Cricetulus griseus: one gene and its partner. The protein of the gene in region 1 purifies or fractionates together with the protein of each later gene. This does not show direct contact. Links are inferred from orthologs where the notes say so. Each region holds a gene or a part of one and is shown on either strand. Other genes may lie near its edges.

Region 1 (3,216 bases):
ATCCACGGTAGAGAAGTTGTATGCAGCTGGCGCCGGAGTGTTGGTGGCTGAGCGAGGGGGCCACACCGCTCTGCACTTGGCCTGCCGGGTGAGGGCACACACGTGCGCATGCGCGCTGCTCCAGCCCCGCCCCAGACGCCCAAGGGATGTCTCAGATACCTACCTCACTCAGAGCCAGGACAATACCACAGACACCGGCCCCACCCCTGTTGCTGTGAACCCTCAACCCAACCCAGAGATCGAAGAGGATCCGAGTGATGAAGACTGGAAGCTGCAGCTAGAAGCTGAAAACTATGAGGGTGAGGGCCCTGGGCCCTGGGAAGGACGAGAGCCCCTGGCCAGAGTCAGGGAAACAAACCACCTGCTCTTCTTACCCAACTTGAAACACAGCCGCTGGCATAGAGCCCTGGGTTTGATTCCCAGCATAACCTAGCATGGTGGTGCCCTTGGGAAGTGAAAGCAAGAGGATCAGGAGTTCAAGGTTGTCTTTGGTGCTTTGTAGTTTGAAGCCAATCTAGGTTCAGGAGACCCTGTCCCATCTCAGGGTATGGCCGTGTGCAGCTGTGATCCCAGCACTTGGGTGACAAAAGCCAGGAGCAGAAACATCATGAGATCATGTTAGATGCATAGTGAGCCCCTGTTTCAAAAAGAACCCCAAAGCAAAATCATCCCTAGGCTCCAGGAATCCCAGCACTGGGACTAAGGACCTCCACTCAGCCTGGGAGTGTGAAGAATTGGACAGACAGGGCTTCTCTTTCCCAGATCTGGTCATCAAACTACTTGCAGCCCAGACCTGCCACCCACAGAGCCAGAAATGCCAGGATACAGTGGTTGAGCCTAGGCTACCCATCTGCAAGGTGCCTTTGTTCCAGAACTGTTCCCAAGTATAAGCCACTAGCCCAGCCTGTCCAGGATGGGAGGACCCATCTCATGCTCCGAGCCATGGGCAGATGGTGCAGAGCTTACCCTCCTCAGTCAGGCCTCCTGGGAAAAGAACTAAGGTCATCTGGTAGCCAGTGTCCCAGGTCTTTTGTGCAACTCCTTTTGTTATTGTGCTTTGTTTTGTTTTGTTTTATTTATGATGCTGGGGATGGAATTTAAGAGCTGTTCATGCTCGTCAAGCCCCTGTTCTTTGTGAAGGAAGACCAAAGACTTGATCCTGTTGGTCCACAGACTATGTGCCCAGACTCATCCCTTGTAGATCCCAGATACTGTACCACTCAGGCTTACACCCACCAGCATGCTGACACCCAAGACTTAGGCATCTGGAATTCGGGAGCCAGCCCCCAAACCTGGTATCTTTAGCTCACGTGGCCTTTCCCTAGGGTTGTGACAGAGCTGAGGCGCCTTAGTTTATCTGACACTGGTTGCTCTGTCCCCAGGCCACACCCCACTCCATGTAGCTGTCATCCACAAAGATGCAGAGATGGTCCGGCTGCTCAGGGATGCTGGAGCTGACCTCAATAAACCGGTGAGCCACTGTGGTGGGCCAGTGTGTGAAGGCACCCTCCCGTCTTTGGTTGGTCTCCCTGACTGATCTGGCATATCCCACAGGAGCCCACGTGTGGCCGGACCCCTCTGCACCTGGCGGTAGAAGCCCAGGCAGCCAACGTACTGGAGCTTCTTCTGAAGGCTGGTGCTGACCCTACCGCCCGCATGTATGGGGGCCGCACCCCACTTGGCAGTGCTCTGCTCCGGCCCAATCCCATCCTTGCCCGCCTCCTCCGTGCACATGGAGCCCCTGAACCTGAGGATGAGGATGATAAGCTCGGCCCTTGCAGCAGCAGCAGCAGCGATAGTGACAGTGACGGCAGAGATGAGGGCGTGAGTGAGGAGTGGGCGTCCCCACGGGAGGGGTCAGGGCAAACCGTGGCGGATGCTCCCAGGGACTTAGACAAGGGACACGTGAGATGAGGAGAAACTTATAGACTTGGGCAAGGGTGGCGGTGGTGGCTGAAGAGCTAAGGCAATCTGTCCTGGTGGCACACACCATTAGTCTTGAATCTCAGTATTCAGGAGGCAGAGGCAGGTGGATGTCTGTGAGTTTAAGGCCAAAGAACAAAGACGAGCCAAGTTAGACTTCCTCCAGAGGTGGTCACGAACACAGGTAGGGAGGGTCTGAGCATCGGAGGTGACTTTGGGAGCAGGATTGCCGAACTTAGGCTGTAGGTAGGTGACCTTGGTCAGAGTGGCCAGAACACTGATGGTAGAGAAAGACCTCAGGCAGCGGTGCAGGGAGCATTACTGAAGAACCCAGACAACGGCACACCCCTGTGTAGGGGTTGGTATAGCATGAAGAGGGTTGAGGGTGGGTGAAGGCAGAGGGGAGACGGGAGAGAGCCACTGTAAGGCTGGACCACAGGGGTAATGGGGGAAGGTGGTCTTGAGAACCAGGACCTCCAGCGTGAGAGGAGGTGCACTGAGTGGGAACCATATCGGAGGGGCAAGGGGACACAGGCGTCAGAGGGAGACCCCATTAAGTGCCGTGCCCTGGGCAGTGGGCAAGGTGGCAGCTACCTGACCCCTGTGTTATCCCTCTCTGTCCCCAGGATGAATATGACGACATTGTGGTCCACAGTGGCAGGAGCCAAAACTGGCTACCTCCCTCCCCGGCACCCAAACCTCTTCCTGATGACTCCAACCCCGCCTGACTTAATTTCTAATATTAATATAATTTCCATTTAATAAAGCTTCAGACCTGAAGCCAGAGCCCAGACTGATAGTGCCTTCCTGCTTATTTCAGGTCCCATTCCTCCAAAGCTGTGTGAGCCGTGGGGTTTGCTTTGTGCTTTATTCACTCAGAGGGATGGAGGGGTGGGGTGGGGTAGGGTGGGGTGGGGTGGGGTCCTGAGTCGTCTGAACTCCACCCCTGCCCCATTCAGACTTCTCTCGGCCTTGGTTCCCAGGTGCACTCTTGCTTCCCAGTCCCTGCCAGATGGAATGGGGGCTCTGAGGTCAACAGCCCTGGGCCTTAGGGAGTATAGGAAAGGAGAAGAGTGGAGTGGGGTCAGCCTTCCCTCGCAAGTGCCTCCCCCAGCATGGCGGTGGCCTTCTTTAGCTGCTCCTCCATGTGCTCTAGCCGGTCCACACCGTCTTCCTGGGGGAGATCAGAAACATGGTTACCACCTTGGTGGCCACTGTGACTCCAACCTGCTGCTTCATACACTGGTGGCTTGAAGTCCCTTCCTAGCTGTCCGTCATGGTCAGTGATGGCTA
Region 2 (4,085 bases), on another chromosome or scaffold:
CAAGCTTGATGGCAAGTGTCTTTATCCACTGAGCTATCTTGCCAGCATTCTCATTGAACATTTATTGAAAATCTCCATTTGCACAGGACCTCCCAGGAGTTGGAGGTGCAGAAGTTAAAGGAAAGAAATAAATGTACTGGCTGGCGTGGTACATGTCTATAATCTCAGCACCGGGCAGAAGGATGAGGAGTTGATAGTCACCCTCAGGTGGGAATTTGAAGACAGACTGAGCCTAAAGAGAATAAGGGACCTCAGCCCCTTTCCCCTTCATACTTGGCCACCAAATGAGCAGTTTTGTTTTACTACACACTACTTCTTGGGAACTAGCTAGCAACTAACTAACTATCTAACTAACTAAATAAATAATTTAAAATGAAATGTGTTTCTAATTAGCTCCAAAATTAGTTATTAAGTTCCAATAAGCTTAGTGTGGAAAAGACTGACAGAAGAAGCTGATGAATAATTAGAGAATGAAGCCCTCTTTCATCTCTTTCCTTTTCCTTTCTGAAAACAATCAATTGAAAACACTTGGGTAGGATCAAAGAAAGTAACCTTCCAGTCAGAGTTGTGACAGCTAAAAGCAAAGCATAGTGTGTGTGTGTGTGTGTGTGTGTGTCAGAGTTGTGACAGCTAAAAGCAAAGCATAGTGTGTGAGTGTGTGTGTGTGTGTGTGTGTGTGTGTGTGTGTGTGTGTGTGTGTGAATGTGCTTGTGGAGACCATGTGTGTTCAGGTGACAAGGAGGCCAGAAAAGGAAATAGGATCTCCAGTTACCTGAGCTGGAGCTGCCCTGCCTAACAAGATTGTTGGGAACTGAACCCGAGGGAGAGCAACAAGTGCTCTTAACCACTGAGCCATCTCTCCAGCCTCAGGGAACACGCCTATCCTGGCACTCGCTCTGGAGACCAGGCTGGCCTCAAACCCACAGAGCCTCCTGCCTCTGCCTCCCGAGTGCCTCCACCAACGCACGGCCTGAGTATTCTAAATTTCAACTTGGCCTTATCAGGTCTTGGAAAGGTGAGAAGAAAGACAGTCCTCTACCTAGATGATGATAAGTCAGAGGCAGCTCCACGCGAAACCGAGGCTGAAGACGCTGTGTTTCGGCGTTTGGCTAAACCTTAGGGCGTAAGCGGGAGCACTAAGCCAATCAGGTACTGCACCTCGAAGAGGCCCTCCTACCAGGGGCGTGGCCACCGCGGAAAGAGCCAAGAGTGGTCCGGGACGAAGCTCCACCACGCTAGAGGCGTGGTTTCGCGTTTTGCGTGTTCTGGGCAGGTCTCAGAGTGTCACTTCCGGTGTATGCGTCCGCGTGTGAGCCGGAGAGCTCATGGCTACACTGGAGTCTTCCGGGCTGGACAGCCAGAGTAGAGACATGGAGACAGAGGTGCAACAGAGTGCAAGGTGGCTGTACTGTGGGGAGCCTGACGACAGGCAGAAAGCTGTGCTGGGTAAAGACTGCGGGACCGGAGCGGAGTTTCGCTCAGCCCTATCCCCTTCTATCTGGGTACCGCGTAGCCCTCCTGCCCACTGCCTGGAGCTGGGACAGAGCCTCCGCTATCCTCCCTTTCCTCTGTCGTGACTTCACATGCGAGGACACTTCTCAGGGCAGTGCCCAGGACTTGGAGATTTCACCAGGTCTCTCATTCGCCCATTTTCCCCTCCACGGAGCAGAGTTCCCTTTCTTCTGCTAGTTAATGACATTCCCTCCGTCATTTTCTGCACAGAGGCCACCCCCTCCCCATCTCCTTTTTTTTAGTACTGGACCAGGACTTCCTTCAGTCTCCCTAAAAGTGGGACATGAGCTCTCTTGCCTTCGCCCTGGGTTCCCAACCACAGTGTAGTTCTAAGCCACCCCACTCTGCTGGTCTTGCCCTCATCTCATTCTTGGGTTACACTTACAGTCCAATTCTCCAATGGGAAGCTGCAGAATCCAGGCAACATGCGCTTCACCTTGTACAACAGCAACGACTTGGTAAACCCCAGGCTGAAGAATCAGCGGATCCTGGTAAGGGCTGCAGGTACAGGTAGTCTGGGCTCTGCAGGGCTCAGAAGGCCCTTGGTGTGGGCAGATATGGGAGGGCCTGAGGGGAGAAAAGGAGGAAAGCAAATGGGACTGTGGCTTCACCAAGGTGCAAGATTTTGGGTGAAACGATGACTTTTCACATATTTGGGAAAAAGGATTTCTCCGTGTAGCTCTAGCTATACTGGAACTCACTGAGTAGACATAGCTGGCTGACCTCCAATTCAGAGATCCGCCTGCCCCTGCCTCCACAGTGCTGGGATTAAGGGTGTGGGCCACCACCGCCCAGTTTGAAGCTTTTTAATTTCATGCAATCCCAGGTGGCGCCCCCCCCCAGAACTTTATCACTTTGAAGCTTCCTTATGGTATTTGGGGTCCCCCAGAGACACCCTAGATTCCTGTAGATATGATGGGGTAGGTCACCTGGAGAATATCTAGGGCTGGTCATTTTGGTCCTGGATTCTAAGACTTCTATACACGTCAAAAGGAGGCCATGCCCAGTGCTGATTGTAAATTGGACACTCCTTTGTTTTTCAGGCAGCAGAAACAGACAGGCTGTCCTATGTTGGAAACAATTTTGGGACTGGCGCCCTCAAATGCAACACTCTTTGCAGGTAATGGACAACTGGGCAGTGACAAAGGTGCTAGGAGGGTTGTAGTAGTGACAGAGACAACACTATCTTCAGTCTTCATTTTGGAGGTAGTTGAGATCTGCAGGTTTGCTAAGACTTTGTGTTTCTAGACTCACAAATTCCATATACTGTTGTGTAGACACCCTTAGAAAGGAAAAGATGGCTTGCGTTTGTCGAGTTCCTAAAGACCTCATTATGACATTATGTATGACTGTCCTATCCCAAAAGACAGCTATGTCTGCTGATTTAGAATGTGTGATCATCAGGTCAAAGCTTGCCTCAAGTTTGCCTTGGGACAAGAGGATTTTGTATCTTCAAGGCCTCTGGGTTGGAACAAAGCAGCCCTCCAGCACTGTCAGAGTGAATGACTTTGGCAACTTTGCTCTTCGCTCACCTCTGGTGTCTTCTGTGTCACAGCATCATCCAGCCTGAAGAATTTATGCATGCCAAAATTCTGTTTAATTTTAGATTCTTATTACCTCAAAAGGGTTTCCATTAACAGCAGTGGCTTTAAATTTGTTTTGTTTTGTTTTGTTTTGTTTTGTTTTCTGAGACAGGGTTTCTCTGTGGCTTTGGAGGCTGTCTGGAACTAGCTCTTGTAGACCTGGCTGGTCTCGAACTCAAGAGATCCTCCTGCCTCTGCCTCCCAAGTGCTGGGACTTTAAATGTGATTGGTTATCAGAACCATCTGGTGGCTTTTTCAGTCCACAACCATTTTATGTCTCCTTCCTCTTCATCACCTACTGTTTCCTCTCCGTGCAGGGATTATTGTTACATGTGAGCAAGTGGATGCCTTTTTCTGGCAGAAAGAAGCTAGGGATATGTGAATAGGAAAAAGAGAGGATTGTGTAAATAATAACCTTTTGGTTAAACTACTATTGTATCATTACTTTTTTCCTCAGACACTTTGTGGGAATTCTGAATAAGACCTCTGGGCAGATGGAAGTATATGATGCTGAGTTGTTCAACATGCAGCCACTGTTTGCTGGTAGGTTCCGGAAATGAATACTCTGTTAAATGAATATTCAGTTAAATACATCGTTTGGGTTTGTTGGATTAGTTCATTTTTGTTTTCTAGAAGGCATTTGTAATTTTTTTCTAAATGGCTTCCTCCACATATACCTTTTTGAGAGAAGGTCTCATGTAGACCCTTGAATTTTCTGGGTAGCTGAAGATGACGTTGGATTTCTGGTCCTCCTGCCATCAACTTGAGAGTGCTGTGTATGGTGAGAGGTTTATATGGTAAAGGGGTGTGAACTCAGAACTTGGTGTCTATTTGGCAAACACAGCTTATCCTCAACCATAATAGGATGCCTTCTTGCCGAGTGTTCTCATTTTTCTTTTTTCTTTTTAATTTGAAAAGGTATATGGATATATAACCTTTTGTGGGGCGGGGCGGGGGGGGGGGGGGGTTGAGACAGGATTTCTCTGTGTA

The links.
Region 2: the proteins of Nfkbib (region 1) and Polr1e purify together in Homo sapiens (affinity purification with mass spectrometry; 3 studies listed by BioGRID and IntAct, counting the BioPlex papers as one, with this or other methods). This does not show direct contact. The link is inferred for Cricetulus griseus from reciprocal best matches to the Homo sapiens genes NFKBIB and POLR1E.

What each region holds. Positions count from the first base shown.
Region 1 is NC_048602.1:7,108,298-7,111,513, forward strand, and holds the end of Nfkbib (NF-kappa-B inhibitor beta), read left to right. Parts: coding exon 1-299; intron 300-1,382; coding exon 1,383-1,471; intron 1,472-1,554; coding exon 1,555-1,824; intron 1,825-2,549; coding exon 2,550-2,651; 3' UTR 2,652-2,716; downstream 2,717-3,216. Other genes in the region: Ccer2 (coiled-coil domain-containing glutamate-rich protein 2), read right to left, coding at 3,008-3,097. UniProt on the Homo sapiens protein: Inhibits NF-kappa-B by complexing with and trapping it in the cytoplasm.
Region 2 is NC_048595.1:98,430,421-98,434,505, reverse strand, and holds the start of Polr1e (DNA-directed RNA polymerase I subunit RPA49), read left to right. Parts: upstream 1-1,276; 5' UTR 1,277-1,325; coding exon 1,326-1,446; intron 1,447-1,899; coding exon 1,900-2,003; intron 2,004-2,555; coding exon 2,556-2,632; intron 2,633-3,552; coding exon 3,553-3,638; intron 3,639-4,085. UniProt on the Homo sapiens protein: Component of RNA polymerase I (Pol I), a DNA-dependent RNA polymerase which synthesizes ribosomal RNA precursors using the four ribonucleoside triphosphates as substrates.